Arabidopsis thaliana: one gene and its partners. The protein of the gene in region 4 purifies or fractionates together with the protein of the main gene of each other region. This does not show direct contact. Each region holds a gene or a part of one and is shown on either strand. Other genes may lie near its edges. The genes, in order: AT4G15000, AT3G61111, RS27A and AT5G15520.

What was found.
Region 1: the proteins of AT5G15520 (region 4) and AT4G15000 fractionate together in Arabidopsis thaliana (co-fractionation; one large-scale study listed by BioGRID). This does not show direct contact.
Region 2: the proteins of AT5G15520 (region 4) and AT3G61111 fractionate together in Arabidopsis thaliana (co-fractionation; one large-scale study listed by BioGRID). This does not show direct contact.
Region 3: the proteins of AT5G15520 (region 4) and RS27A fractionate together in Arabidopsis thaliana (co-fractionation; one large-scale study listed by BioGRID). This does not show direct contact.

The regions. Positions count from the first base shown.
Region 1 is NC_003075.7:8,567,722-8,575,273, reverse strand, and holds AT4G15000 (Ribosomal L27e protein family), read right to left. Parts: upstream 3,459-7,552; 5' UTR 3,379-3,458; coding exon 2,971-3,378; 3' UTR 2,913-2,970; coding exon of another isoform or gene 2,887-2,912; 3' UTR 2,593-2,886; downstream 1-2,592. Other genes in the region: AT4G15010 (Mitochondrial substrate carrier family protein), read left to right, coding at 410-526, 607-682, 760-855, 1,113-1,629, 1,725-1,860, 1,955-2,149; AT4G14990 (Topoisomerase II-associated protein PAT1), read left to right, coding at 5,763-5,814, 6,211-6,356, 6,451-6,507, 6,683-6,758, 6,983-7,552.
Region 2 is NC_003074.8:22,612,591-22,620,190, reverse strand, and holds AT3G61111 (Zinc-binding ribosomal protein family protein), read left to right. Parts: upstream 1-6,188; 5' UTR 6,189-6,271; coding exon 6,272-6,274; intron 6,275-6,451; coding exon 6,452-6,553; intron 6,554-6,719; coding exon 6,720-6,748; intron 6,749-6,834; coding exon 6,835-6,961; coding exon of another isoform or gene 6,962-6,978; 3' UTR 6,979-7,100; downstream 7,101-7,600. Other genes in the region: AGL13 (AGAMOUS-like 13), read left to right, coding at 528-603, 775-836, 932-1,031, 1,134-1,175, 1,266-1,301, 1,428-1,576, 1,690-1,777; AT3G61117 (uncharacterized protein), read left to right, coding at 3,633-3,761; AT3G61113 (Ubiquitin related modifier 1), read left to right, coding at 4,776-4,798, 5,153-5,228, 5,317-5,399, 5,492-5,609; RS27A (ribosomal protein S27), read right to left, coding at 7,559-7,600.
Region 3 is NC_003074.8:22,605,242-22,613,405, reverse strand, and holds RS27A (ribosomal protein S27), read right to left. Parts: upstream 1,886-8,164; 5' UTR 1,697-1,885; coding exon 1,694-1,696; intron 1,417-1,693; coding exon 1,315-1,416; intron 1,021-1,314; coding exon 992-1,020; intron 901-991; coding exon 774-900; 3' UTR 501-773; downstream 1-500. Other genes in the region: AT3G61111 (Zinc-binding ribosomal protein family protein), read left to right, coding at 50-176; AT3G61100 (Putative endonuclease or glycosyl hydrolase), read left to right, coding at 2,140-2,149, 2,258-2,467, 2,552-2,832; AT3G61090 (Putative endonuclease or glycosyl hydrolase), read left to right, coding at 3,584-3,611, 3,724-3,927, 4,002-4,312; AT3G61080 (Protein kinase superfamily protein), read right to left, coding at 4,523-4,824, 4,903-5,043, 5,122-5,240, 5,335-5,423, 5,500-5,574, 5,670-5,760, 5,846-5,999, 6,167-6,254; PEX11E (peroxin 11E), read left to right, coding at 7,247-7,438, 7,570-7,644, 7,743-7,817, 7,920-8,000, 8,083-8,145. UniProt on the Arabidopsis thaliana protein: May be involved in the elimination of damaged mRNA after UV irradiation.
Region 4 is NC_003076.8:5,035,029-5,043,673, reverse strand, and holds AT5G15520 (Ribosomal protein S19e family protein), read left to right. Parts: upstream 1-4,919; 5' UTR 4,920-5,537; coding exon 5,538-5,621; intron 5,622-5,906; coding exon 5,907-5,997; intron 5,998-6,081; coding exon 6,082-6,265; intron 6,266-6,359; coding exon 6,360-6,432; 3' UTR 6,433-6,653; downstream 6,654-8,645. Other genes in the region: AT5G15537 (uncharacterized protein), read left to right, coding at 211-264, 539-555, 846-881, 1,415-1,468, 1,589-1,643; AT5G15533 (uncharacterized protein), read left to right, coding at 2,838-2,855, 2,919-3,017; BCCP2 (biotin carboxyl carrier protein 2), read right to left, coding at 3,237-3,260, 3,347-3,412, 3,515-3,586, 3,732-4,044, 4,137-4,255, 4,353-4,394, 4,588-4,719; AT5G15510 (TPX2 (targeting protein for Xklp2) protein family), read right to left, coding at 7,086-7,287, 7,404-7,498, 7,585-7,644, 7,943-8,041, 8,162-8,281, 8,377-8,469, 8,582-8,627.

The DNA of each region.
Region 1 (7,552 bases), on a different chromosome or scaffold from region 4:
TGATAACTAAAACGACGTCATTTCCTTTAGGGCATTTTCTGATTGAACGACGTCGTCTTTTCTTCTCCGATTAGCGTCGGTCGTCTTCTTCGTCTTCTCTCTGTCGCTGATCTGGGTTTTGCTTCAACGTGAAACATCTTTGAGGTTGATGATGAGGTTTCTGTTTACTTAATATCCTGTGAGAGAAAACTCTTCTTGACTTGAGGTATGATAATACTCTAATTATTGTTTATTTTGTGTTGGATCAAATGGATGATAAGAACTTGTTGATCTACTTCTAAACCTCTTAATTTTGGAGACTATGATAAGAGTAAAGGACATAGTATGTTTGAATACTGATACTGTAGTCTGTAGTGTTGCTGACAAAAACGTATAGGTATATGTACATTTGTTTTCGCTGAGGCTAAAGATGGATAAGCTTCTTGAGAATCATCAGTTTGCGACACATGCCATCGCTGCCTCGGCCTCTGTCTCGTTAGGAACTGCTCTCGCTTATCCTTTAGATACCATCAAAACCATTATCCAGGTTTTTTCCCTCTTCTTCACCAAATTGTTCTTTTTATCACTTAGATTCATCTGGGGATTAAGAATAGCATTGAACTACAGGTTGGTTCAGGACCCAATAAGAAATTAAGCTCCTTTCAAGTTTTTAATAGAGTTCTTCGATTCTCTGGCTATTCAGGTTCGCAAACTACTCTTTTAGATTCCAATCATTTTCTGATTCTGCATCAGGCATAATGACATGTTCTTCAAATGCAGGTCTGTACAGTGGTCTTGGATCGTTAACTTTAGGAAGAATTTCTGGTTTTGGTGCAAGGTTTGGTGTCTATGAGATTCTAACAGCTTTCTACAAAGGTATTACACAGGTCCATGTCTCCTTTGTTGTGTCTGATTTCGATGATTCAAGATTAGGTTTCTTTGTGTCTAGCTCCTCTGTCAATTAGCTCAATAACATCAGTTAATTAGTCAATACAGCAATCATTTGTTCATGGATTATGTTAGAATATGCAACAGTGTTCACATACATTCATGTCATTTATACGCAAATTTGGTTCCTTTTTGGGCAATACCTTTGTCTTGAAGAATCTGAATATGAATTCATTTCGCTCCAGATGGTCGACATGATAACTACGTGAGTGTTGGTGAAGCTTTTCTGGCTGGTCTGGTGGGAGGTGCAGCAGAAACAGTGATGACTTCTCCATTTGAGCTAATCAAAGTCCGAAAACAAGTGACTGCTGCATCACGGGCTCCAAATGCTTCCGCTGTTGCAGAGACCGCACCGGTCTCACCCATGATCACAAAACTGCTAAGAAGATACACTCTTGATGTAAAGTCATTGACACAAACAGTCAGTCTCTTATCCGTCTTAAATCACAAACACCCAAACATGACAGCTGCTTTGCAAGAGTACCCTTGGATGATGACTGGAACAGGAAACCCACCATCAGCCATGGATGTTAAGAGACCGCTCGATGTTGCATCACTTGAAGGATATAGAGCTTTATGGAGGAATCTACGTTCAGGTCTTATAAGAGATTGTATTTACGGTGGAGTATTCTTTTCAACATGGCAGTTTCTTCACGAGGCAATGGTCGGTTGGAAAGCTGTTGGGATGAATCCTCTGCCCAGGTACTTAAAACTCTCAATCGACACTGAATTCTCAATTCACTTGAACTTGGATTGTTGATTGTTAAAATGATTATGCGGAAACTTGATGAATTCAGTTCTGAAGAAGAAGTTGGACCTTTATCTCCGGTAGCCATTAGCCTTGCTGCTGGGATATCTGGTGCCGTTGCAGCTGCAGCATCACATAGCTTTGACACAGCAAGAACACGTGCACAGTGTGTAATATTGCCAAAGGTTTAAAGAAACTCTACTCATGGCTTTCCACTTTATCTTACAAAGAGATATGAAACTCATTTTCTCTGTTGGGTTTCTATTGTTTTACTTACAGTATACAGCAAAGGAGAGGAAGTTTCTAAAATGGAATAAACCAGGGAAGAGATTAGAGAGATGGACAGGAATCCATCCTACAGACAGAAATCTCTTGTTCCGAGGTATTGGGATGAGGATGGCTCGAAGCTCTGTTGCATCGACTGTGATCGTAGGAAGCTATTACTTAGCTGTCGATTTATTGGTTCCCAAGTGAGAAAACAAACAATCACATAAGCCTACAAATCTGTCTTTAGATCAGATTAACGATACCGCAATAGTGATTGTTTTTTAGTAGCCTGCGTTTTGTTATACAGTTAACAGAGAAATCATATGTGAGTTTTTCTCAATACTCTGAAATAAATAATTAACATCATTGGCTGTATCTGTAAGTTTGATGATTACAAATTATCAATTTCCTAGACAAATGAAACTCGAAAATTTGCTGTATTTTACGACGAGTTTAGGAATAAGCTACTTGCAATGGGATATTCAGAATCTAACAAAAACGATACAAGATTCAACTTTTGGTAAATACATTTCCCGATTCTATCAAAACTTAATGCCAGAGAAGCTTATAAACAAAGGAGATATAGCCATTGTATCAGAACCTTGCTCAAAAAACAATTAGCTATTGATATTTTGCTAATTCAAAACCGTGATTAAGACAATTAGTAACACCAAATTCAATTTCGAAGATTACGAAACTTGAACATCTATAATTTTCTAACTAAGGCTATGAACAAGAATTCTTTGCAATGGACCTCCAGATTTTAACCAATATCAGCCTAAAGACGTTACTAAATTCATCATTTCCTCAAGCCTAAGCAAATATAATTCAACGGAAACAAAAGAGTAAATAAGAATGCATTAGAGAATCAAAATAAAAGATCAAATCCATAATCCAAACTTCAACAAAACATCTTCCACAATCCAAAACAGGATCCACATTTTTCACCATGGGAAATGAACCCTAGAAACTAAAAAACACGATAACAAAACGCTCAAAATGAATTCCTCACGAAATAGAAAATTTCTTCAGAACCTGAGCTTGGTAAAGAACCATCTGTTCTTACCGGTTTTGAACCTCTCCTCAAGCTTAGCCTTAGCTTCCTTAAGAGCAGCAACCTTCTTATCCTTACTCTGAAGAGCATCAAGAGTCGCCACTTCCTTGAGATCCACGTCGAGTGTGTAACGAGTAGGCATCAGATGCTGGTAATTAACAAGCTTGATGAAACACTTAACCCTAGATTTCTTAGCTGTCTTCTTAGCTGAGTCTTTGCGGATGACTTTGCTCGGGTACTTCTTGAGTCCGGCGACGAGGCAGTGTCCGTAAGGACGATCACGGTTACCGTCGTCGAAGGATTTGATGATGACGGCTTTCTTTCCGGCGTAACGTCCTTGAAGAAGGATCACGGCCTTGTTCTGCTTCAAGAACTTCACCATTGTTGCTTCGTTTGGTAGATCCCTCTCACTTGTCTCTCTCTCTGGCTGCTATGAACCCTAAGTGGCGGATTCTATGAGAAATGCGGCTTTAATAGTAATGCAGAAAATGGATGCGGAGAGAACCTAGTTTCAGTTATTGGGCCTTTAGGTTAGACCCATTTTTAATTTGGGCTTTATATTCTTATCACACGGCCTGGTAAACCTAGCTTCAGTTATTGGGTCATACTAATTCTAGTTTTCCTTTTTTTTTTTTCTTACGTTCGTACAAACTTCAAAAGAGTTATTATTACAAAAACTTTTTTTTTTGAACTAACAAAGACATATATAAAATTATACAACTGTTATGGATCCCATTGATAATACAAAACTGTAAAAAGAATTAAGTTGTTAGCTGGAGTTGTAAGTATTTTTGAAATAGTGCAAAATTTACAAAAGAATTATACGAGAGAGCTGTAAAAAAAAAAAAAAGTAAAACTTTTAGTAACGGTTTTGATAAAACTTTTATGATTGGTGTTGAAGCTATCCAACTCTATATTTGACTGCTAATTTTAGTTACTCATATATGTTTTTTGGCTTGCTCATAGCACTACCACTATGTATAGTGACTAACTTTTACAAAATTACACTTATACTATCTACAAAATTATACATTTATCATATTATTATTGGAATTGTTTGTGAAACTATACATTGTATCGCATAAAAACATGCTGTCTTTTTCTCAAAATCTTCTAATTTTTCGATCAAGTTCCATACTCAAAATTATCAATTTAATTGTCACGAAAATTTCGAAAACCTTTCTACCAATATTTTAAGACTTTCAAACATGTCTACTTTCGTTTTCGATCACAAAATTTACCTTTCATCATACGAACAAAGTTGGAAACTTCTTCTCGCAGCAATCAATATATTTGTTTATAATTCTACTAAAATGTGTCAAATATTTATAATTAAAAATTGCATGCTTGACTTTTCTAGCCACTGCGAGACTATAGTCTATAATTATGGACTGTTAACATCATATTTGCAGATTATTATATATTTTAGAAAACTTTGCTTGGCCGGTTATATCGTGTCTACGCAAGTAAGTATATAGGTGTCATATTTTATAAAAAATAGACCATTTGAATTTGTGTATAATAAATTAGCAAATGAGATCAAATTGAACCGACCGGATGAAATCCGTTCACATGGACCATATAACTTGTCCCTCCAGTTATTTTATTTTATTTCGTCGATGTGTATTTAATTTTGTTAATCTCTATGCAATTAAGTTTTCATAACTAACTTATTTGGTTTGGTTGAGGAGTTTCAAACAAGTAAAAGCATAAACTTAAAAGGAGAAAATAGGTGGAATCATATATTTAGAAGGATCGTCTTACTAATTAGAATCATATACTAGTAGTTAGTGGATGTGGTATAACCTATATGGCTATATCAATTAAATTGTTTTTCGTAGTTATCCAAAATAATTACAGAAATAAGACGAATTCTCGTAGTTATCCAATAATTTATTTAATGTTTTCATATAAAATCTGAAGCCTAGAAATGCAAATTATGAAATTATGTATGGTTTACATGTATAATTGTTTATAGTGGTCTCATATGTTAAAAAAATAATTTTTTTTAATCGTGAATGTAGTGTGGATTACACGAAATCGGTCGATGTTTTTCAAATGCCGCAGGAAATTATATTTCTATGATAAGAAAATGTTTATGATCACTAATATTAGTAGACACAGCAATATGTAATAAATAATATTAAAATAGAGAGAATAATAAAATAAAAAAGCAGACAGCACTAAAAAAAGGTTATTCTTATCTTTTGTAATCACTATCACTAATTTTAGTAACATACTGTATAATTTTAATTAAAAGAAAAAAAAGTTCGGAAAGTGGAATATTTTTACTTTTGATTTTTTGTCAACAGAAGAGAATTTTTCCTTGACGACAAAAGAAAACATTTTTAATTTATTCTCTTTTATTTTAACTTAACGAACCAAAAAAAAAAAAAAGGTGAAATGCTTATTTCAGACAGAGAAATGAGGATTTGTTCGAGATGTGTCAATGTTACGCATAGCACAGGGCAGAGATAATAAAAAAAGGCTCTCTCTTTCTTTCTCTCTCTCTCTCTCTCTCTTCTCTAATCTAATCTAATCAAAAATCTCTTCTTTAGGAAGAGAAGTTTCCTCCTTCGACTTTCTTCTTTCTCAATATGAATCCCGGAAAATCGGGAACCTCTAGCGATTTCAGCTAATCTTTACTTACCTTTTCTTTAGTTCTGACAAGAAGTAGCAATACCCTTTTGGAGATTCGATCGTATTCGCTGTTTTTTTTTTTTGTGTTTTAGCTGTCTTCGTGTCTCTGCTACTTTGTGTTTGATCATGGAGAGATCTGATTCTAGAGATTTCTACAACTTCGCTAAGACTTCTTCTGGTCAGTTCTCTTTCTTGTTCAGCTCTTTTTGTTTTCAAATCTAATAAAAGTGTTTTTATTTTGTGATTCATCAGTTTGCTAAAGCTTCTTTCTTTGATCTGAGATGTGAATGATTTGATTTGCTTCTGATTTGTGAAAACTTTAAGAGAAACATACTTTTTGTTTCATGCTTGTTATGTTTGATTTATCTTCCTTGTTACAGTATTTGATTCGTTTTTTTTTTAAGTTTTGTAGTAACCTATAAGATTTACTAATTTGATTTTTGAAGTTGTATGAAATGATTGAAATGTCACAGATTTGTTTACAAAAGCTTTAGTTTTACTTAAATTTTCTGGTCAACTGATTGTCACTTACCTCATGTGTTTGATGAAACTGGATCTTATTGTCTTTGTGCAGATAACAATAGTGCACTCTTTGACGCATCTCAATATGAGTTCTTTGGTCAAAGTCTTGAAGAAGTCGAATTGGGTGGTCTTGATGATGATGGTACTGTTCGTGGACATGTTGATGATGAAGAGTATCACTTGTTTGATAAAAGAGAGGTAATTTGGACTGAGTCTGTTCTTGGCAATATTTGATGCTAATTATATATGAGATAAATGGAAGATAAAACAAAACATTTACTTCTGGTTTCAGGGTGCTGGTTTAGGATCATTATCTGACATGGATGATCTTGCCACAACTTTTGCAAAGGTTAGCATATTGTAAATTCCGAATTATGACTTTAAATAATTCTGTTTCTACTAATATCATTTTGTTACCATTTTTCATCGTCTCTCTTGAGACAAATGATCTGTCTTTCTCAGCTTCTTATTATTACTTGTTCTCTACTTTAACTTATCTTATTATTTGGTCTTATCTTGTGCAGCTGAACAGAAATGTTACCGGGCCCAAACACCTTGGAGTAATTGGTGACAGAGGATCAGGGTCCTTTTCAAGAGAAAGTGAGTTTTGTTTACTGTTTACTATTCTTGTTCTTCTATGTTACTTTTTCTTCTTCTTGAACTATGCAACTAAAGGTAAAAACTGTGAGCTTGTACTTTTAGATATCCACTTCTGGAGGTGAATGATTGGAGTATTAAGTTGTGGTAGTTGGAAATATAATTACAAGTCAACAAAAAAAAAATCCATTATCAGCTTTTTTTCTAACAGTAGTTTTTATGTCCAGGTTCTACTGCTACAGATTGGACTCAGGATAATGAGTTCACAAGCTGGTTGGATCAGCACACAGTTGAAGAACAAGTTCAGGAAGCTAGTTGGTCTTCACAGCCACAATCATCTCCTAATTCAAATTCTCTGTATAGGACATCCTCATATCCTCAGCAGCAAACACAGCTACAACATTACAGTAGCGAACCGATTATCGTACCAGAATCGACGTTTACATCTTTTCCTTCGCCTGGAAAAAGATCTCAACAGTCTTCCCCGAGCCATATTCATCGTGCTCCTTCTCTTCCTGGTGGTAGTCAGTCGAACTTTTCAGCTCCAAACGCCTCTCCGTTGTCGAATTCTACTTTCCATCTCTCGGGATTGTCACATGGACCGTCGCATTATGGTAATAATTTGGCTAGATATGCCTCATGTGGTCCTACTCTTGGTAACATGGTGCAACAACCTCCTCATTGGGTTACCGACCCCGGCCTTCTCCACGGTGATCATTCCGCGTTGTTACACAGTCTAATGCAACAGCAACATCTCCAACAACTGCCTCCTCGGAATGGTTTTACTTCACAACAGT
Region 2 (7,600 bases), on a different chromosome or scaffold from region 4:
TTGATTTGTGTCTGTTCTTAAGATCAAGAAACCAAATTCTGTCTTGTGGGTATCTGAAAAAGGTTATGTCTTTTTATTCTAACCCTAACTAGTTAAGGTTGATCACCATCCATCGATCTCTCAGGATCCATCGGACATATGGGTCAGTTTAGCTTTTAGATCCGGTAAATCTTTTGAAAGAAAACTTCTTTGTTTTATTTTGGGTTTTAATTGTTATCACCAGCTTTGATATGTGTATGTCCTTAAGATCCATGAAACCTCATATATACGTTTTGCCTCTTTAAATAGATATGTCTTTCTAATTCTAATTAGAGAAATTAATTAGGGTTTATCATGGGTAGCCGTAGATCTATAATCCATTACGCAGATATATCTTCCCAGAGATTTTTGTGTAATTAGAATTTCCTTTAGACATGCATTAAAAGTTAACACAGAACTTAAGGTTTTCGTTCTTTGGTTTTGAATTTAAGCAAATTCAGATTATTAATTAAAATATCTTGTGGTTTCTTTTGTTTTATAAACTGTAGAGTTGGCAGAACCATTGAGAGGTACTATCGCTGTAAAGACAATCTTTTGGACAATGATACGCTTGAAGATACTCAGGTCAATCATTTTTTTTCTTAAGTATGTTCATTTTATCTTTATATATATACGGAATTTGACCTTTGTTCATTCTAAGTGTATACATAGTCAAACTAACTATTATATTATAACGATGTATAAAATAAATAGAGCTAAGATAAATTGTAGTTAATCTTCTGCTTTTTGGTGCAGGGCTTGCGTCAAGAGGTGACAAAGCTCAAATGCAAATACGAATCTCTTCTTCGCACTCATAGGTTTAACTAATCGTACTCCTCGTAATCCATTACTTCCTATAATTGTACATTTCCTAATTTCTGCTACTAATAATCGTTTTGAATCGTTGAAAAAGGAATTTGGTTGGGGAAGATCTTGAAGGGATGAGTATAAAGGAATTGCAGACGCTGGAGAGACAGCTTGAAGGAGCTCTTTCCGCAACCCGAAAACAAAAGGCATGACATATTTCATACGTAGACCAATTTTTCTTGCGCATCATTTAGACCTGCAAAATACATTATTGAAATGTATATCTTTATATGCATGTATGTATATAGACGCAGGTTATGATGGAACAAATGGAAGAGCTTCGGAGAAAGGCAAGTACTCGAAATGATGTTCTACAATATATGCATGCATTGTATGTAAATGTACTCATGTGTATATCATTTTTGTATTTGGAATGGCAGGAGAGGGAGCTCGGAGATATAAACAATAAGCTAAAGGTTAATGTTTTTAACTGGACATCCAAATTATATATCAAGTCTTTCTTAGTTACTATGATTTTGTGTTAGTTAATTAGTGTATTGTCTACTCATAAATCTTATAAAATGGATAATCTTCATAATCAGCTTGAGACAGAAGATCATGATTTTAAAGGCTTTCAAGACCTACTGCTTAACCCGGTGCTCACCGCCGGTTGTTCCACTGATTTTTCCTTGCAATCAACTCATCAAAATTATATATCGGATTGCAACCTTGGATATTTTTTACAGATTGGGTACGTAATAATCGATATTTTTGCTTCTCTACTGATGAAATACAAGTCATGGTTTTATGAATAAATTTGGCCTTATTGGATACATATATAATATGAATATGATACATATGTAGGTTTCAACAACACTATGAGCAAGGTGAAGGATCTTCGGTGACAAAGAGTAATGCAAGAAGTGATGCTGAGACCAACTTTGTCCAATGATGGGTTTCGTTGTCTTGGTTTGGACTCATTGAGTCACGACGAAGCGTTTAGGTCATTTACTATCGGGACATACTCTTTTTTTTTTTTTTTTTCTTTTTTTTTTTCACAAGACATACTCTTTTCTTTAATTTCAATTATTTGTTAGAGTTCTCGTTGATTTATTGTTTGGAGGTTATATATGGGATAAGTATGTACCACTAATTTTTTTGCGATTAGTGGATTTTTTTGTTAACCGTCCTAAAGAACAAATAGAAAAGAACTCAACCGTTTCATATTGGTAATAGTGTAGTATGTGTTGTTGTTAATGAACGATATCAATCGAATTTACTTTCTACTAGTAGACTTGAAACTGGTATTAACATATCAGAGAAGCACACACAAACATAAAAAGAAGAATAAAAAAAGAATCGAAGAATTAAAAAGGAATTATGGAAATTTAGACAACATAAATCATCAATGAATGCAGTGGAAGACCATAATTAAGTAGATGATGCCTTTCAAATAGTAGTAGTAGTAGTAGCAGCAGCAGTAGTAGTCGTGAAGAATAATTATATAATTACTTGAATAATTCAAAAGATTGATAGCAGAAAAATTAATTAAATTACATTTACTTGGATGTGTTTACTGTTTACTTTACGAGTTCCCAATTTATTTAAACGTTTTTTTTTATTTGACTTGATGAGAGTAGGAAAATATCAACGCTGCGGAACGGTAACATTTTTGAATAAATATTTTAAATTGAAAACTTTTTCTACATTTTAATTTGACCGTTTGAATTAGATATTTTTAATGAAAATAATTAAGATAATGGACTCTTATTCTTACACGAGTCTGCCTTGAGATTAGGAATAAACGAACGTTGTGAAACGGTAACATTTTATGACTGTTTGAATTATTATTTTTAATAGAAAAATTAAGATAATGGACTCTATAAGTACTACTTTCTTCGGACAGATGATCTGAATTCTCTTACTCGTTCTTTTGTTCTTTTTCTTACAAATGTTAAATACACTCTGTTTTTATCATCTTAGTTCTGTTCGCCGACTTGTGTTCCGTCCTCACACTTGTGTTGTCACTCAAAGTCTCTCAAGCAAACATAAAGGCAACATCTTACAGGTAAATAATCTATAGTTTGTTTACTATTAAAAGATTGTTGTCAGTCTCTGTTAATAACCTTGTTCGTCAATTTTCAAAAAAAAATTATGGAGTTCAACAAACGTTTTAAATCCCTTTTATATCTTGACTCTAATGATGTGTCTCTGATCGTAAACTGGTTTTAGATATATATATATATATATATGTACGTCTTTAATAAAACTGATTTTTAGTTATATATGTTTGTTCGTTAATTGTACATCCAGTATATTGACTTGATGACTTCATTGATGTGAGATTAATTTTATGTGTGATGGTTTTATGAGTTGTTTATATGTTATGTCTAAGAAAACGTAGAATGGGTTTATAATTGTTGTGAAAACCAAGAGAGAATTTTCCTCTTTTTTTTTTTTGTAAGAAACGTACTTATGCATGTACCGAAATTGTTGACTAGTAGAGAAAAAAATTGTATTGAAGATTTCTATTGATTTTGCAGAGGGTGGACAAGTGACTGTGTGTGTCCGAGAGTTTCCCCATTGAAGCGCTTGGCCACTGGCCAGCCTTTTGAAGTTGTTAACACGGCTGTGTATATGCAATATGTGTATTTTTGTTTATGAAGGATGTATAGATGTATAGGGTGTGAATGTCTCATGCATAAATCCATAATAGATGTATGAATGTGCGGCATGAATGTGTCTCATATGCATAATAGATGAATGATAGGGTGTGACTGTCTCATGCATATATCCATAATAGATGTATGATAGGGAGTGAATGTGCTTACGCAAGGCGTGAACGTGTCTCATATGCATATATGTATAGGGTGAACACGGGCACAGAGAGTGAACGTAGAGAGGAAAACACAAAAATAACAATAAACAATCGCTAGTCAAAAAACACTCAAAAGTTCTATTGATTAAAAAATACCAAACAATCGCTAGTCTAAACACTCAAAGCGAATAAAACCAACAAAAATAACAAACGAGCGCTAGTGAAAGAAACTCAAAATTGCGATTGAGTAAAAAATACCAAACAACTAGTCGAAACTAGTCAACACCAATCTTGACCAAAAAACACCAAACGAACGTTAGAAAACACTCAAACTACAAACAAAATGTTCAAAAAAATAGCTGACACTCAAAATGGGTAAAAATATTTTCGGTACACTTTGGGTATTAATTGAAAACTGTCGAATTATATGGTCTTTTTTTATTCGGCGGATTCGTGGCGGAAATTTTCATTCTTCTATGTGATATCTACGGTTTAAATGATGACGCGGAAAGATCTCGTTCTCGTGCTATCTCCACGTGTTAAATGTCACATGAGATATAGCCACAATTGAAAACTGTCGAATTATATGGTCTTTTTTTATTCGGCGGATTTGTGGCGGAAACTTTCATTCTTCTATGTGATATCTACGGTTTAAATGATGACGCGGAAAGATCTCGTTCTTGTACTATCTCCACGTGTTGAATGTCACATGAGATATAGCCACAATTGAAAACTGTCGAATTATATGGTCTTTTTTTATTCGGCGGAATCGTGGCGGAAACTTTTATTCTTCTATGTGATATCTACGGTTTAAATGATGACGCGGAAAGATCTCGTTCTCGTGCGCTATCTCCACGTGTTGAATGTCACACGCCGGAGAATGTCTACTGTTTTGATTCTTGCCTAAGAAAACAAACTGTTGTGATTCTGTTTCAATAAGCGTTTGGGTATTTTTAAGAAGGGCTTTGATATTTGGTGATCATGTTGCCTAACTTTAAGGGCCCAAACCAAGAAAACGAAAACGACGTCGTATGGAGTTTTGCGTGAACTCAAAGCGGAGATCCTATCGGAGAGAATCGGAGAAGAAGAAAAAGAAGAAGAAGGGTTTTGTTACCGCAAAACTTCATTGAAGATGCAATTTACTCTTGAGTTCGGGTACACTATTACTCGTTTGTGTCATTTGCCCACTCTCATAGTGGTTTATATTTTGATTTCATTTGATTGACTCTCAAATGTCAATGCCTGTTTATTGGTCGGGAAAAAACTGAAAACTTAGTGCTTTAGATTATGGTTTCTCTATTTGCTTGGGATATTATAATGCACAGTTTGTAGCATAAGCCTATCTTTGTTTTGCTTATTCAGTGCTAATAAAGTAATGATTTTTGGATTGGGAAAATCATAAATGACTTTAGACTTTTTACATTCCGGTCATCATCAGATCAATTGGTAGTGAATGAGAGTTTCGTATTGGTATTAACATGAAAATATGTGCTTGTTGATCTCCTGCAGTGGAGGTTTAGAATTGCTCTGTGACTCCGTAAAGATTCATAAAGTTAACATCAACTTACTCAATGATTCTGATATCGTAAGCTTCTCTCTTTTGATGATTTTTAAATACCATTGAGTTTATTATAGTCATGTAAAACTTCTCACTGGTGTTTCATTCAGTACAGTTGACAATGAAGGATTTGCTTTCATGGGTTCGTACCAATTTGATCAAGGAAAGGCCTGAAATGTTCATGAAAGGCGATACCGTGTAAAGCTTCTCTCTTTTCTTTCCTTGATTTCCAGCAAGAACTCTGTTTTTAGTGTTTAATAACAATGGTGGTTTGGAATTCATAAACGCAGGAGGCCTGGAGTTCTCGTGCTGGTTAATGACTGCGATTGGGAACTTAGTGGTCAGCTCGATACAACATTAGAAGATAAAGATGTTATAGTTTTCATTTCGACTCTGCACGGTGGATGAATATTGAAATAGCAGAGCCTTGATCATTTTGATCGTTTCCAACTACTTGTGATGAACATTCCACAAACCTTTGTAATCTCTGGCTCATTGTTATTACTTTGAGTTTATATTTGCAACCACATCATTCGTAATTGAGGAGTTTTGATGTTATGAATCTTAGCTACCAGAATCAGATTCACCTCATGGTTGCTTTAATGCAGTGTGCCTTATGGATGTAGTATTAGTATATTATTGAAATTCTCTCTACATACTGAAAAATGTTTGGAAACAAGACTTACATAAGAAAAAGTTAAAAAAAAAAAAAAAAAAAAAACTAGACAAATTTAGGATGTTTTTTGTTTGTTTATTTATGGATAAAAAGAGAATGTAAATTCGTGTTCAAAAAAAAAAGAAAAAAAAAAAAAAAAAAAAAAAGAGAATGTAAATAAAGCCTCTACTTTGACTGAAAGGTCAAATTTGTTGTGTTTTCTTAACTATGTAGATGCTCTAGGCCCATTCTAGAAGATTTTCAGATTAATTGGTCTCCAAGTAACTAAGTAAACCTAATATATTCCCATCCTCGTTTGTTCACAACCGGCAGTGAGTAATTATAAAAACCTCTCTCGCGAATTGTTGCCGTTGCTTGCTAGCTTTCGCCGTCGTCTCTTGAGAGTCTTGCGAAGATGGTTAGATCTCTTGCACTGGATGCTCTCCATTTACATCTCCTGATTTGATTTTGTTATAAGGGTTTTAATCACGGTAACGAGATGGGAAGTAAGCTAATTAGAAGTGTGGTTGTGTCATTTGATTTGAGTACTGATGAGATGCAAAGTTAATTGTTATTATTTGTTGATATGGAACAGGTTCTTCAAAACGATATCGATCTGCTTAATCCTCCGGCTGAGCTTGAGAAGAGGAAGCATAAGCTCAAGCGTCTTGTTCCATCACCAAATTCCTATTTCATGGTAATAAAACTTTGAAACCTTTCTCCTTATTTAGAATCCTGTAAAAACCAAATCTCTCTGTTTAGAAACTGTAATACTTCAAGTTTTTTAATCGGATTCTAATTTACTTGTATGAAGTTTATCTACTCTTTCTGTGGACTCTGATTTTTGTTTAATTTTACTGTAGCTTGTTAGGTGCTCTGACTGTATCAACATGTAAGATTTGAAATCAATATTTTCCTGTTACATAAGATAAATTAAGAAACTTAAAACTTATTATGGGCTTTGTTCTTTTACTGCAGCACAACTATTTTCAGTCACTCACAGACAGTCGTGGTATGCGGAAAGTGTCAGAACGTTCTGTGCCAACCTACAGGAGGCAAGGCCAAGCTCACAGTAGGATGCTCTTTCAGGAAGCTTACCGATTGAATCAGATATCATCATAAGCTTGTCTCTTTTTTAATACCAACCAGTTTTCAGTCCTCCTTTACCATTGGTTGTTTCAAATATTAATAGTTGACACTGAAGGATTTGCTTTCATGGATTCGTTACCAATTTGATCAAAGAAAGCCCTGAAATGTTCATGAAAGGCTTTTTTACTCTCATATGTCTTTGGTCTTCTAGCAACAACCTCGTTCTTCAGTGTTTTAAAACAACGTTTGGGATCCATAACGATTGGGAGCTTGGCGACCAGCTTGATAAAAAACTTGCATAACGGTTGCTTCAAAGTTCAAACACAAACGTACCAACATTTAGTTCTTAACTTCTTTAATTACTTTTTTTTGACGAAATATAAAGTACAAACAACCAATCAAAGTGAGTATTTTGAGATACCAAATGGATTAGATGCAAGCAAGCAGTAAACTATTTTAGACTTGGGGATAATCTCAAAAGTAAAAGAGCAAACTCTGCTTACTTATATTAAAAATCCAAACATTTTAAAATTCCAGAGATAACATCATAGCCAACAACAACAAAAAAAAAAGAAAAAGAAAACAGCCTTCATTATTTTGATGATTGCTTCAATCAATCACCCTTTCTCCTGAAAGAGCATCCTTCGGTGAGCTT
Region 3 (8,164 bases), on a different chromosome or scaffold from region 4:
TAAATTAAGAAACTTAAAACTTATTATGGGCTTTGTTCTTTTACTGCAGCACAACTATTTTCAGTCACTCACAGACAGTCGTGGTATGCGGAAAGTGTCAGAACGTTCTGTGCCAACCTACAGGAGGCAAGGCCAAGCTCACAGTAGGATGCTCTTTCAGGAAGCTTACCGATTGAATCAGATATCATCATAAGCTTGTCTCTTTTTTAATACCAACCAGTTTTCAGTCCTCCTTTACCATTGGTTGTTTCAAATATTAATAGTTGACACTGAAGGATTTGCTTTCATGGATTCGTTACCAATTTGATCAAAGAAAGCCCTGAAATGTTCATGAAAGGCTTTTTTACTCTCATATGTCTTTGGTCTTCTAGCAACAACCTCGTTCTTCAGTGTTTTAAAACAACGTTTGGGATCCATAACGATTGGGAGCTTGGCGACCAGCTTGATAAAAAACTTGCATAACGGTTGCTTCAAAGTTCAAACACAAACGTACCAACATTTAGTTCTTAACTTCTTTAATTACTTTTTTTTGACGAAATATAAAGTACAAACAACCAATCAAAGTGAGTATTTTGAGATACCAAATGGATTAGATGCAAGCAAGCAGTAAACTATTTTAGACTTGGGGATAATCTCAAAAGTAAAAGAGCAAACTCTGCTTACTTATATTAAAAATCCAAACATTTTAAAATTCCAGAGATAACATCATAGCCAACAACAACAAAAAAAAAAGAAAAAGAAAACAGCCTTCATTATTTTGATGATTGCTTCAATCAATCACCCTTTCTCCTGAAAGAGCATCCTTCGGTGAGCTTTGCCTTTCCTCCTGTAGGCTGGCACAGAATTGTCTGGCAGTTTCCGCACACCACAACAGTCTGCGAGTGACTGAAAACAGTAGTGCTGCGATACCAAAACAGAACCCGATAAGATTATGTTCCTCTATATATGTGTAATAATGTCGAAAAAGAAAGAGATTGTTTTCAGAACTTACATGTTGAAGCAGCCTTGGCACTTCACATCCTACAGTAGTAAGATATACAAGAAAAGAAACAACAATCAGAGTCCATAAAAGAGTAAATGAGAATCAGATACAAATCAAATTCACAAACTCAAAACATACATACAATTCACAAACTCGAAACTAGTTACATAGATTCTCAAACTTACATCCAAAAATCGCCATCACATAACACACTGTCAAAGCTAGGGATTATGAGAAAATCATTAAACTCCAAATTAACATACAGTTCTAATCACAGAGACTTATTTGCTAAAGGGTTCAAGAGAAGGAGAAAGCTTTAAAATTTTGATTACCATGAAGAAGGAATTGGGAGACTGGACAAGACGCTTGAGCTTGTGCTTCCTCTTCTCAAGCTCAGCAGGTGGGTTAAGCAGATCGATATCGTTTTGAAGAACCTGTTCCACATCAACAAAAACAAAATTAGCTTAGAGCATTAGATCAACCCAATGATGAAAACCACACTTCTAATAAGCTAATATATATTTCGTAAACGTGACTAAAACCTAAAGATTCAAGCTTTTTATAGAAGAAGATATCAAAAGAGAATTTACATAAAACTCTTGAGTGACTCGAAATTTCACTAAAAGGATTCGTTTTTCTATAACAAAATCATATCAAGAGACGTATAGGGAGAGAGATGAAGACGAGAATAAAGTGCAAGAGAGAACTAACCATCTTCGCAAGAAGCTAAAGAGACGACGGCGAAAGATAGCAAGCAACGGCAACAATAGGCGAGAGAGAAAGGGTTTCTAGGGTTACCACTTAATGTCTCCTTTATATATTAACACCATAATCTGACCTTGCTATCCTTTTGAACCTTCTCATCGAATTGGAGGGTTTACATTCTCTTTTTATTTTAAGAAGAGTCATCCACCAAAAGACAAAAAAGTAAATTGTTGACAGTGGGATTTGAACCCACGCCCTTTCGGACCAGAACCTTAATCTGGCGCCTTAGACCAACTCGGCCATATCAACTTTTGTTGCTCTGTTTCGATTTCTAAATTACTAAACCAAAGTTCCCGGACCATTTCTTTTTAAACCCAACCAAACCAAGAGAGAGCTCGCTCTTCCACCGCCGCAGATCTAAAACCCTGATTTCTCGGGTGTTGGTCGAAACCATGACCACTGGTTAGCTCTCTCTCTCTCTATCTCTCTAATAGTATGTGGAGGAACAAATCAATAGTAATTCTCTGGATACTGATTGTTAATGCATTTTGCCGCCTTTTTTGTATCTAGAGGAAGAGGATAAGGTAGTCGTCTTCTGGGACGTCGTAGAATGCCCACTCCCTGATGATCTCGAGCCTTCTGAGGTTTCTGAGAATATCGAATCAGCTCTAGATAGACAGGGTTATCTTCCTTGTAATGTGTCAATCAGGGTTTACGGTAAGAAGAATCATGAGTTCAAGGATGAGTTTCTCCTCGCTAATATCATGTTCGTACCCGCAGGTGATCATTTCCTCTCCCTCTTTAACACTACTCACTCCCCTTAGTTGTCTTAGATATCTCCATTGATATAACTATGGTTTTCAGGAGATGCAAATGCGAGATATAATAGGATGGTGAAGGATATTGATAAATGGGCATTGGACAATGATGAATCAGATTTGATGGTGATCTCACGAGTCAACTCGAAGTTCGCCACTTATCTCGCAGATTGGAAAGCCAAAGACTTGTACATTTTCGGAGCAGAGCCAGAAAAAGCACCAGGGAAATGTAGCAACTGCAAAGTTACGAGTTTGGACGAGCTTTTCACTCAACAATGGGTTTGGGAAAGCCTATCACTTGGAGGAGACCCTATCACCCGAGCTTAGTTAGTTATTCATCGTTTCAATCGATTGTGAATTCTACTTGACATTACCGACTCGAAATTGGATTGTTTTAACATTTTCGTATCTTCTCATTAATCAAAAGGGTGAATCTTGTTATAGTTCTTAACGTTTTCTGTGTTAAAATTAAAAGTTTGTTGCTCCTTTGAATGCATTTGCTGCTCTTAAACTCACTCCTTTGCATGAATATTGATTAATCTTATAATAAAACTGAATATGATACTTGTGGGTTCTGATGAGTATTACAAGTTCCCGACATAGATCGAGTAGTAGGGGCTGGTTAAGTCAAGTTCCCGGTACGACCAGTTCAGCTGCTCTTAAACTCACTCCATGGCCTTCCCAGTATTACAAGTTACTCAAAATGTAAACTTGCACAGAATTCTTGATTAGAGAGATTGGTGTTGTTTCTCATTTTGAACAAGACTTTTTTTTTTTTCATCTCATTTTGAACAAGACTCTGTTTACTATATACTAGTAGAAACGAGAAAGGAGCATTCTATGTTCCAGAATTCACATTTTGAGCAACTTGTAAATAAGAAGTCCCTAGTACAACACCCACAAAAGAGCCCATTAACTTCGTTGTACAGAATGCAACCATTCCGGGACCATTTATTTTAAAGCCCAACCAGAGGCCCATTACTGACCCTTTCTAGTTGAGGAACAATTAATAACTTTTGTCCCAATGTTGTCAACTTTGTTCAGAAGAAGTCTCTCTCAGTCTAGGTCACTCGAAACCATGTCTTCTTTGACAAGCGAAAATGCTGGTAAGCTCTCGTTCTCTCTCTATCATGTCATTTGTAATGGATCTATTCAAATTGTATTCTCTCGATGCTGATTTGTAATGCATCTTCCGTTTTCGAAAAACCTTGCTGACAGAGACTAAGGTAGGCGTCTTCTGGGACGTGGAGGAATGCCCAGTCCCTGATGGTGTGGAGCCATCTGTGGTTTGTGAGAATATCAAACTTGCTCTTGAGAAAAAGGGTTATCGTCCATGTAATGTCTCAATCAGAGTTTATGGTGAGAGGACTAATAAGTTCAAGGATGACTTTCTCCTCGCTGATATCATGTTCTTACCCGCAGGTAAAGAAACACAGTACTTGTCTTTTTCTTTTACTTTATGTCCGTATCTTAGAGATCTCTGTTGATGGTTTCAGGAGATGAAGGAGCGAGATTTATGAGGATGTGTAATGATTTCTTTTGCTGGGGAAATGACAATCGTAAATCAACTTTGATGGTAATGTCACGAGACAGCACTGAGTTCGCCTCTTCTTTCGTAATGTACAAAAACTTGAATTTCAACATTCTCGTAGCACAGCCAGAAAACGTAGACAGAAAATGTCCTGTCTGCAGAAAGCCTTTGGAAATGATCATCACTGACGAATGGGTTTGGGAAAGCCTCTCTGCTGGAGGAGACCCTCTCCCCAAAACCCAAGAAGAACCAGACCTTAGTAACTCTTGTCATTAACTATGCTGCTTTTATTACTAGTTGTTATTTGTAATGTTTAAAATCGATTGTGAATTCTTCTCTCCATCACATTACCACCTATGTACAACCAGATCATCGATTTAAACATGTATGACAGACATCTTTCTTCGTATAAACCACCTTACATAACACCAACACACAAATACACACATAAAGAAAGCATATAAGCAGCAGCTTTCCCTCCTCATCTTAAGCTTTGAGCATCCGTAGATAATCATCGATGATTGACATCGCAGATGATCGGTAGCCCGAGCCAAACAGGTTATAATGGTTCAAGTAATGATAGAGCAAATACAGATCCCTCCTCTTCTCATATCCCGCTTGTTTTGGCATTACCTTGAGGGAGCAATGAAACAAAACAACCTTTAAACTTGATTTTAGTTGATACAGAAACTGTGAGAAAAGGAAGAGAACCTTGAAATAGGCATTGTAGAAAGATTCTCCAAATCCTGCGCACCACGACATTCCAAAATCCGCCTCGTTATGCCCATCTGTGGAGGAGGAATGAGATCAAAACGGTGCTTGAAAATGGTAAAATATATCAAGAATTTGAGAATGAAAGCTTATACAGTAACAGGCAGGATCAAGAATGACAGGTTCGTTGTTCTTGTCGTATGCGATATTCCCGCTCCAGAGATCACCATGTAACAAGCACGGTTCTATGACAACATTCTCAAAGAGAGGTGCCATGTTCTGTATCAGTGTATGACCTGTTCAAATATTTTCTTCAAACCTTAAACCAATCTGTTCTCACCAAGTTTATAACGAGAGAGAAGAGAGAAAGAAACCTTTCTGATAAATAGCAGAGTCACCATACTGATCCCTAGCTAACTTAAGCTGGTAACCCAATCTCTTCTCACCATAAAATTCAATCCAATCCGAAGACCAAGTATTGATCTGCGGGGTACTAAAATAGGCACATTGCACATCATGAAGATTGTGAGAGAAGACAGCAACTCAATAAAAGTGACTAAGATTTTTGAAAATGGAATTCATTCCACCTGCCAATAGTGTTGTCAACCTCAAAGCCAAAACCTTTCGAAGTTTTCCCGGCTTTATGCATCTCAGCTAGCTTCCTTCCTAATTCAGCCTAATGACTAATAACCATGAACCCATGAAACTAAAGTTCTTAACATTGGTTCATAGTTTATATTCATCATTATCACCTGATTGCCTCTTGATCCCCCAAAATCTATAAACTCCATGATGATATAAGATCCACCTGTTGGCAATTCCCCAGCCTGTTAACACTTTTAAACAAGAATCTATGATTAGAGAGATCAACAAAAATAATAATGTATATACGCCAAAGAAAGAAAAGAAAGATTAAACTTGCTTTGTGTGGATTTGGAACACGGATTGTTCTGGTTTCATACATAGCCTCAAGACCAAGAGCCTCTCCCTCAAACATGGCAGGTCCAATACTCCTAAAACCAGTGTAACAAACAACAAAACATTAAAAGTCTTGACTATGAATACCAGAGAGGTTTAGTAAGACATCAATTAATATACCTGTTAGTTTTAACGAAGAAAGAACCAGCATCAGTTTGATAATGACTTGCAAGATTAATGCATCCACCACCAACAGAACCAATCTTTGTTATCTGAGTTGCTTTTCCTTCTGTAAGAATCCATTCACGAATTGGATCCTCACTCATTGCAGCCACTAACCAATCAATTAAACAGATGAAATTCAATTAGTATGATCAAAACAGTAACTAAAGTTTGCTCTTTTGAGAACAGAGAAATACAAAATTCGTAAATTTGCCTCCATTATATCAAAACAATGAAATATTGTTCATCCAACACCAACATAAGCTAAAGATAACTTACTAGCAACAAATTTGGGTCGAGGAGAGAAGTTGCGAAGAAGAAGATGTGGCCGAGCAGAGAAGCAAATACTAAGAGAAGCCACCGCCATTTTCTTCTTCTCCCGGCTTTGGTATTATTCTTCATGTGGCCGTTATTCAATTTCCCGTCCAAGCTTATTTCGGTGACTGTTTGGATACAAAGTTATCTTCATCCTTGTCTTGTTTAACTTCAGAACCAGCTTTTTAAAAAAATGAAAAAAATAAGGCTTCTTGAGGCCTGGCCCATTAACACTACGAAACGCTGCGTTTTAAGATGTGTTCTCCTTCCTCGATAAGTGTGCCACACGCGCGTATAGATGAGGCCTGTGGTGTACACGGAACTTATCGACGGTTAGAAATGAAACGATTAGGAGATTAGATCGTTGAACAAAACGACGTGTTTTGGTCTATTTATAAAGAAAGAAATAAAAAGGAGAGATGACCAAACACGCCTTTATCATAGTTTCTATCTCCGATGACACAAAACGAGGAAGATTATTTGACATTTTAAGTAAGAACAGCTAGCTTTGCCATCTCCCTAAAGGCAATAAATCTCGGATCCACTTTCACGATATTTTGATATTTTTTCTATTTATAATCTTTCTGGGTTTTGAGTCTTTTGAAGGCTGAATTGCTCTGAAATCTCAATTGTATAATCATCTCCTGGGTCGTCGTTATCGTGATCATCTAGGTAAGTGGATTGGAATCCCAATTTCTGAAATTTTTGAATGTTTTCAAGTTTCACATGCCTTAGATTTGACGTTCTTTTTCATTTTTGTAAACTTGCTAATTGCATTGTTGTGTTTTAAATCTTTGTGGTTGGTGATGAAGTTAATGTTCTGGCTTGAATTTGATCAAAGCCAACATTTTTCTCATGTTTCTCATTAATCAAACGTGACTTTATTAGAGAAGGATGAATTTTGCTATAGCTCTTGATTTTTTGTGTGTTTAATTTAGATGGGAACAACTCTGTTTCTAGATTCATAGTTTAGTTTGAGCTCGTGTAAAGGTGTGTTGATGAATCTTGGGTTGCGTTGTTGTTGTTTTTCTGACAGAAGAAAGCATGACTACACTAGATTTGACCAGAGCCGAGCTTGCTCTTATTGTTCTCTATTTGAACAAAGCTGAGGCTAGAGATAAGATATGCAGAGCTATCCAATATGGTTCCAAATTTTTGAGCGGTGGCCAACCTGGTACTGCTCAAACTGTCGACAAAAACACCAGCTTGGCGAGAAAAGTTTTCCGTCTTTTCAAGGTCATGCCCTCATTGTTGCTATTTCTATCTTTGTTTCTTAGAATTGGAACCGGCTTCATTGTTGCTTCTTTCTTATTATTTGGATTGAAAATGTTTTGATTTCTGATTAGCAAATGGTTTCGAATGTGCAGTTTGTCAATGATTTTCACGGTCTTATCAGCCCCGTGCCTAAAGGGACTCCACTTCCTCTTGTCTTACTCGGGAAGGTGCTAAAGAGATGTTGAATTTTCACATCATTTCTTCATATCTTGATTTGATTCAATCTCTTTAACTTCTGTTTTTGTTTGTTGGTTGACCGTTTCAGTCGAAGAATGCGCTCTTGTCTACCTTTTTGTTTCTTGATCAAATCGTCTGGCTTGGTAGATCCGGCATATACAAGGTGAGATAAGTTTAAGGCAATAATCCATAATGGTCTTTTGAAGTTTTGATGTTTCATTTGCTCTGTTAAGTGACTAAAGATTCTTGTTCAATCGCATCGCAGAACAAAGAACGAACTGAATTGCTTGGACGTATATCACTTTTCTGCTGGCTGGGATCATCCGTTTGTACAAGTGCAGTCGAGGTTTTTTTTAATCTCTTCTCAACATTTTGATTTGCTCGCGTATAAACATAAATCCCGATCTTGATCTTCCTATGTGTATCAGATTGGTGAGCTTGGAAGGCTCTCTTCATCTATGAAGAAGATGGAAAAGGAACTCAAAGCTGATGTAAAAACTCTCATGTGTA
Region 4 (8,645 bases):
GAACTCAATGATCTGTTTATTGATGGAGAATAAATGTTCTTTTATATATAGAACTCAATGATCTGCTTATTAATGGAGATAAATGATCTTTTATAAGACTTGTCTAATAATGGACTGATTGGAAAATGCATAAAAACATGTAGTTAATCCTCTCTGCCTAGCTCTTGAAGCTCTTCCTGTTAACGAAGGCACATCATTGTGCAATGCTTGATGGGTCGAGGCTCGAGCAAGGCGAGAAAAGGAGAGAGAGATGAGGCACCAAACGTAAGTCAGTACACATCTCACTGAGATATGATATTCAGTGAGACATTTTGTTCTAACTTACAATATTCTGCATCAAAAAGTCCAACGTGCAGACTGTATCTTTCCCTCTTTTAATCAGGTAAGTGTCTCTTCCGCCTTTCAAAACAAGGTATGATCTTCATAATATTTTTCCTTGATGGAGTTTTAGTTCGTTAATTGATTACATGCTTAGATCACATAGTCTTTAATAACTATTTATCTATGAATGATTATTTATCTATTTTTTTAGTTTCAGAAGACCAAGAAAATGGAGTAAGTGTACGTGATCTTTCTCAGGTTTGACTTCTCTCTCTCAGTTTGAAATATTATAGTGTTACTCATTGTGTTTGAATTGTTGTAGTGAATGTTCAATATCACGTACAATATCATATAGTTAATGTTTGGCCTAACATCAGTGAATTCGTGACTAATACTCTTTTAGTTTTTATATTGAACTTGTAAGTACTTAAAATAAAGCACGGTTAAAGGCACTTAACGCTTACATGTCTTAGTTACCATTTGTAGAATCAAAATTTGAAAAAATCTTTATATTCTATTTGCAGGAACCATAAAGAAGGCATTGTGTACATGAGTAAGATGTAAGTATTGATCCAATTATTCTTGCAAGTTTTATTTATGTCAAAGACTCTTAATCGTATATCTGATATGTTTTTCAAATTAGGCATCTTTGGTGGTAGTGTTGTCTGTTGTGTACATGAATTCTCTTTTCAGTGTTATAGTGTTGTTGCTTGCGTTTTAATTGTTATAGTGGACAATGCCGATTTTTACCGAAAAAATCAGCAGGTTTTGATCAGATTAACCAAATTTGTGATTTATATATTGTTTATATTGCTGCAAAGTTGAGATCTCATGATTTTTCAACATTCAGTGACTTCTTTTTGTCTTGTTGTACTCATTTATGGTTTATATATATCAAACTTGCAGGAACTAAAGGGTTATTATCTCTCGAAGTCCACGCAATTCTGATTTTGCCACCCATTTGTCGTCTAAAACCTCATTCTCATCTTTGAAACCAAATGTATAGTTTTGAGGTCTCTACTTACATCTGGTACAGTTTTGAGCCTTTGGATGTATTTTTAAGCAAAGCATAACTCTTTTATTCTTTAATCAGAGGCATGATTGGAGCTTTTGGGGTGTGCGTCGTCTTCAACACTCCTATTTCCAAGTAAGTAGATTCCGAAGTTTACTTAATACATTTACGCATGAATATTTTTAGATACTTTAGTATTGTTGGCTTATTTCTCCTTTGGCTGCAAATTTAATATTTCCATGTGTTTTTTTTTAGGTGGATCAATTTTTCCTTTATAAACCAAACCTCAATTAAGCACCCACGTCTTTAGAGCACACTGATACAAATATACACATAACACGAATACATACACTAAACGTAAACATACACACAAACGTAACTTTTGTGCTCACACTAATACAAACATAAATGCATAACACGAACACATACTCTAAATGCAATTGTTTATATTGTATGATGAATGAGTGCTAAACAGAAGTTTATGAAACTACTTACTAAGGTTTATAGTTTATATAAGAAGTTTTTTCATTTCTATAATCTTCAAAGTCGGTACGACTTCATTTCTCAATTTGTGACGTGGAATCAGAGCAGTGAAAAAGCTTTCTTTCATTCACACATTTTCTCTTTGATTCCTTGGAACTTTTCCAGGAAGCACTCTCAATGCTATAAACATATATAGGATTAGGGATAAGCTTGGCCATTTAGTTACTCGGATCGGTTCCATTCAGATTCGGTTCTTCGGATCTTGCATTTAATAGTTCGTTCCGCGGATTGCAAGTTACGTTTAAGTGTATTCACAGCGGGAAAATGGCTGCATTTATGAAATATAGTCTAAGGTTCACATATACATAGAGAAGGGTTTGTATTGTAAGGTGGACGAAAAAATCTTGTAACAAAACTCTATCACGATTAATACTAAACACTTTCAAGAAATTCTTAAGGGAGGATTCTGACATCCATAATTTGGCGCCAAAAGGAGGGGCCTCTAGAATAGGAATCGCTATGGCAAAAAACGGAGATCAAACCTCTACGCTCGACGAAATCAAGAAGATGATGAATGATCAACAACAATGCACCATCAGTGAACTGTTAAAGAAGTTCATTTCGTTTGAGGAGCGTTGCAACACTCAGCTTGCAGCCCTTACCGCAAGTTGCTCCAAAATCACGTCAACTCATAATACTTATGCCGACCGAGTTGACACTCTACTCCAGGGACTTTGCGAACCTCAAGATCAAGAGGGCGTTTAGAGTTTTACGACCCTATCCACCCGAACCCTCTGAGTTTCTCAAACTACTGCAAGGTCTCAGGTCCCAAAGTGTAACCGGAGGAAGTTATCAGCAGCCACCAACTGCTCAAATACTTCTGTAGGCCTCAACTACTTCTGGTTATAATACAAATGCATAAACGCTAGAAAAGAGGATTGCTTGCAGTGGGTTCGTTTGACCATCGATAGCATGATAAGTGAAGCTTTTATGCTACTGTTTTTCCCTTCTTTTTTTATAGATGAAAACATGGAAACATGTTTTATTAAGGTAATGCATCATGTAAAACCTTAACTTTTCACTGTTTTATTTGTTGCCTCAGTCAAAGACACACCATTCTCCTTTAGACACCTTTAACTGTGCTTTTATAAGCAGTGCGTTGTGTAAAAAACTGAAGTATGGGACAGAGAGCCAGGATTGAGAGGCTACAAAATACATTAGTTTCGCAGAAAACTAAAAAGCAAAGTGTAGTACGTTACGTGAAATCCCAAAAGATGGGTCAATTATTGAAGCGACAAGCAGAAATCCGAAACCAACCAACTTAAGCTGAAATAATTACTTGATGAGTTTTAGCACGTTGCTATAGCTTAACCGAGACTTTGAAGATGTTTTGAAGCAGCTAAAAGGATCCTTCTTCGTTTCAAGGTGCGATGACAAAAAGAGGCTGCATAATTTGTTGTATAAGTAACCATAAGTCAAAGATCTGAAAGAACTGTGAAAAAAATAAAAAACGAAGAGAGAGATCGGTACCGTGTCAACGCTGACTGGTTTTCCATCTTCAGCCAGTAGTTCCATGATGGTTCCTGACTTCTCAGCCTGTTTTCAAGACACGATTTCACAAGTTAAAGACTCTGAAACCTCAAATTCGCAAATTTCCAAGTGTAAGTTATCACAATGTTATAAAGAAGAATATCAGACCTCAATCTCGTTCATCAGTTTCATAGCTTCGATAATACAAACAATTTGACCCTTCTGTACCTTATCTCCAACCTGCAAATTGCAAACAGAAAACAAACCCACATCCATTTCAAATGTAATAACTGTTCATATCTCGATAGAGAGAATTTTCAAGACTTTGATTCAACTTCAACCAATAACAAATATTTTGCAGGTTTTTGTTTCCTTTCTTTCGTACCTTTACAAAAGGGGGTTCACCGGGTCCAGGAGATCTATAGAAAGTACCAGCCATGGGACTCTTGAGTGGAGGATGAGACGAGGATGGGGCGGATGTTGGTTTTGCTGTTGCAGGCGTTGAGGTAGGAGTAGGAGAAGGAGGAAGAGCCACTGGTTGAGCTGGAGGCATTGAAAAGTCTGCCATTACAGGAGGCATTGAGTGATAAACTGGAGCTGGTGGTACAGCTTGCTGTAAAGCTTCCTTCTTTCGAATAACGATCTCACAGTCGAGCTGCTTTAGTTCAAGTTCCACTATGTCTTTTGAATCCACAAGCCTTAATAAGATCAAAATGTTTAGTGCTTGACTAGTTCATCGAAAGAAAGCAAACTAAAGGATAGTAAGGGATTCATTGGATTGTGGACTTACTTAAGAAGACCAGAGACTTTAGCCATAAATTCAGAGAGCTCGGCGGGTTCAGGAACATTGGTTTTCGCTTTTCCGTTCATATACCCACCATTAGTCATTGGAGTGGAGTTAGAAACAACCTTGGTAAAGTCGAAATGATTAAGAAGGTTACACAGTCGTACAATTAACGTTTAATTGAATGGACCATTGTTGGTAAAAAAAACATGCAATCTCTACCTCATTAGTTGTTGCACGCAACCTCCAGAATGCAGAATGATTCTGCAGGAGAAGAACAGAACAGAGAATTATGAATCAATGCATACTAACTTTAAACAGTCACCAACTCGAGCACCATTGCAGTGGAAAACACACACAGAAAAAAGGCAAATCTTTTCGTAAAGGCTCACACCTTTTTTATAGAATCATCATATGCAAGAGAGGCAGAGAGAGAAAGAAGAGGAGCAGAAGAAACCTGAGAAACATCGGAGGGAAAGGAGATCCCATTGGGTTGCGGCTGCCATCTTTGAGTAGAGATTCCAGGGAGAGATCCGACCCGCCTGTTCAGAGCACAGATCTTGACGCAAGGTACCGACAATGACGCCATTGTTGAGACAGTGGACGATGAAACCGAGGAAGTAGGAAGGAGAGATATGAGAGTGTTGAAATGCAGTGTACTTGCTATATTTTTCTTTTCTTTATTTTTTCTTTGGTAAAGAAATCTGATTTCGATGCTTACGAAGAAACCCAACTCTTTTAACTAACTTCACCAAACCGCTCCTTTTGTCTTCTATCAGTTCAATCGTGCCATGTCATAACATAGTGCCTCGGTGTTTCTCTGTCTTATTTTTTAGTATATACACAAAATACACCAATATAGATAGATATAGATATGTATAGATATGTGTGTTCAGCTATACATGTGTTACTGGTCTAATCACCGGAACAGTCTTTCAGAGATTGCCTCCATGTAATCTGCATTTGTTTCACAAATCCAACAGTCTTTTTGATCCAATCTTTGGTCATAATGTCTGCAAGATTTAAAACTCAACAATATCCAGTGACACTTAACATATTTTATAGTTGGTCACTTCAGTAAATGCAGATAGGTGGGGTTTTATTGAAGACAAGACCATGCGTTTTTTACTCAGCTAAACTTGTCTGTGGCTTCTGGTCAAAAACATATCTTATCTTTATAACTTTCAGTAGCTAAAATAATAATTAAGACTGAACTACACTTTTAACTGAAACGGAGCGTATAAGCCGCTTAAATAGATTTAATGGCCCATAATGGGTTAGGCGGGTCGATTCGGGTTCAGTGTGTCCGAAAAAAACCCTAATTGAAAATTGATTGCTCAGATATATATAGACTTTGTGACTGAAAATTGAAAGCTCTTGGCTTAACTTAACGGAGTGATTCGTGAAATGGCGACTGGTAAAACCGTGAAAGATGTTTCTCCTCACGATTTCGTGAAGGCTTACGCTTCTCACCTCAAGCGATCTGGAAAGGTTAGTGTTTTGATGCTTCTCTCTCAAGTTTGATTGATTCAGCTGAGAATCGAAAGACGTCACAAAAGGATCTGATAATGAGTTTTAGAGGAAACAATTGAGAGTTTGAGGGAGCTTCTGATATTGTAGTTCAATGTGTTGGTGTGATTTTGAGGCATTGAATACTATAAAACGACTGAGGAAGAGAGAAATAGAGATAGAAATGATAGATTCTTGATGTTAGTGATCATAGGCAGCTAATTGGAAATTCACTGTAATAATAGTTGTCTCTTTTGTCTGATTTAGATTGAGCTTCCTCTATGGACAGACATTGTGAAGACTGGTCGTTTGAAGGAGCTTGCTCCATATGACCCTGATTGGTACTACATTAGAGCTGGTAAAAAAAAGCTTAGCTTTCTCTTCGCTTGTTTTTGTTTTTATAGAGTCGTTATGAACGTTGTTGATATCTTGTATGGTGCAGCTTCTATGGCCAGAAAGATTTACTTGAGAGGAGGTCTTGGTGTTGGTGCTTTCAGAAGAATTTATGGAGGTAGCAAAAGAAATGGAAGTCGACCACCACATTTCTGTAAGAGCAGTGGTGGTATTGCTCGCCATATTCTCCAACAGTTGGAGACAATGAGCATTGTCGAGCTTGACACTAAAGGGTAATTCTTATTTCTTTCTAAAGGCACTTTTCGTAGGAAGACCTTGTTAGTGACTTACTTTCATCTCTCCTCCTTTGTTCATTCTTTGTCTCAGAGGGAGAAGAATCACTTCGAGCGGTCAACGGGATTTGGATCAGGTTGCTGGGCGTATTGCAGCTGAATCATGAAGAGCTGTTGTTCTCCTTATGCTTGCTTTGGAGGAGCCTCAAGAATGTTATAGATCTTTTTAGCTTTTGTGATTTTAGATCTCTACTCTCTTCTGCTCTGTTCATTTTGACGAACTAATTTGATATTTGATGAAGCTATTAAAGTTTTGTTCTTTACAGTGATTTTGTATCCCAAGTTTACTCTTCTTCATAGAAATCTCAAGAAACAATTTACTCTTCTCTATGAAAACTCTTCTGGTATGTCAGTCATATACAAATTTAAATTGGAAGATGATTTAAAACTCACATATGTTTCTTGACCAGAACTAAACCAATGTACACCGGATTCTGCAAACAAATGTATGAGAGGTGGAACACGGATTGAATCATAAGATAAGTCAGTTAAATCCAAATTCAAACTGGAGGATAAGTATTATATCTTTCTGAACCAGATCAAACCAGATTTTGCAAACAATATGGAATCTTTCTCATTTTCTTGGGTGAAGACCAGATTATTATTACAAAGGTGAAACAAGAATGATTGTCAAATCTATGAAACTGCAACTAATTGGTTACAGAAAGGTAATGTAGTTTTGAAAATGAGAATATGAACAAGGATGATATAGTAGTAAATCCAAAAGAAGCTTTCTAGAGAAACTGATATTGGAAATCGCTCATGCAGGAGCCAGTTTCACTCCAAGAAGATGAACTGCAGCATCTGATCTTCTTGTGTTGCGGTATGTGAAACTTGGGATCTCGTGGTGCAGTTGGATGTTTGCTCGACCTTTTAATGGTAAAAGAAAACAACAAGAAGCAACTGTGTCAGCTTTTGCAATGACGTTCATTGTTATAAGAAAGTTTACTCTATTAGTTGGTCTGTGAAAACTATATTGAAAACATATTTCTCACTTGAAAACAATATCTATATTACCTATCATGCTCTCATAATAAGAAAGATTCAAGAGGATAGTATTTATGTACCAGTCTTTTACCTTCTTGGAATGAATGGTCGATCAAAGTATGGCATTGGTTGTGCTTTTGGGACCAATTCTTTCCTCAGCCTTCTTATCTCTTCTTCCTCTGCCAACTAAAAACAATATTGGATTTATCAAAATCAGTTAAAGCAAAACTCTATTATCGGATATGGCCACAACATCTCATATTAAAGTTTACCTTCTGTTGTCTTTCTCTTTCCATTTTGTATTGCTCAATGAAGCTCATCTTCTCGGCAACCTAGAACAACAAAAATTCAGACTTTAACATGAAGAAATTTATGGAACAATGCAAAGTTACTATAGACAAGTCAACCTTGGCTACAGACTACAATACACACTATTTGACACTATCAGCTATTTTCCTTTCCGTCTCAAGTCTTAACACAACCAGCTGATAAGAAAACAAGTATACTCTAAATGATTTGACAGAATGAAATGGTTACTGAAGCCAAATCATGTCAGCGGCTATGTTTTAAGGTATCTTGAACTTCAAGCCCAACAAAATGTAGATTTAATCATTGCATTAGCAAGGTTACCTGGTAATCAAATTCTGCGCGTTCAACTGCCCGGACATCTGAGTGGAGCGTCAAGTCGACTGGTCTTGTAATGTCTTTCCAATGAGGCTTCACTAGGCACTGAAACAGAAAACAACATTAGAACTTTTCATAGTCAACAAGACATCATCTCTCACTATTGTTACTACTAGAGCTTACAAGATCAATTGAGATGTTAATAGGAAAGCAGAACATGCTTACCTCAGGTTCATCGGTTGTCCATGGAAGACCTTGAGCAATGGGGATTCTCATCTTTTCTTCCTCCATTGTTATTTCGTGTATCTTTTTTGCTAACTCTTCCTCTTTCACTTTACCTCTTTGCTGCAGAGAGACAAAAGACCAACCAACTGTCATGACTCAATTTCCACCATAAAATTCGAAATTTTTCTTTAGTTTTAATCTAAAGAAACTCATACCTCAGTTCTAAGCTTAAACGGCTTCAATGAAGTGACCTTAACCTGCTTCTTCTTTGATCTTCTACTTCCCATTGTAGTCGATGACTCCATGCTCTGCCATAAACAGAAATATCAAAATGATTATTAAACTATACTGACATACTAAGCAAGACAGACAACCATTAAACAGCTAAGAAAATTCAGATGCTGCATGCAGGACACTTACATTTCTTCTACTTCTCCTGCCAGCATTTGAACTTCCACTCAAAACACTGAAACATCACAATATC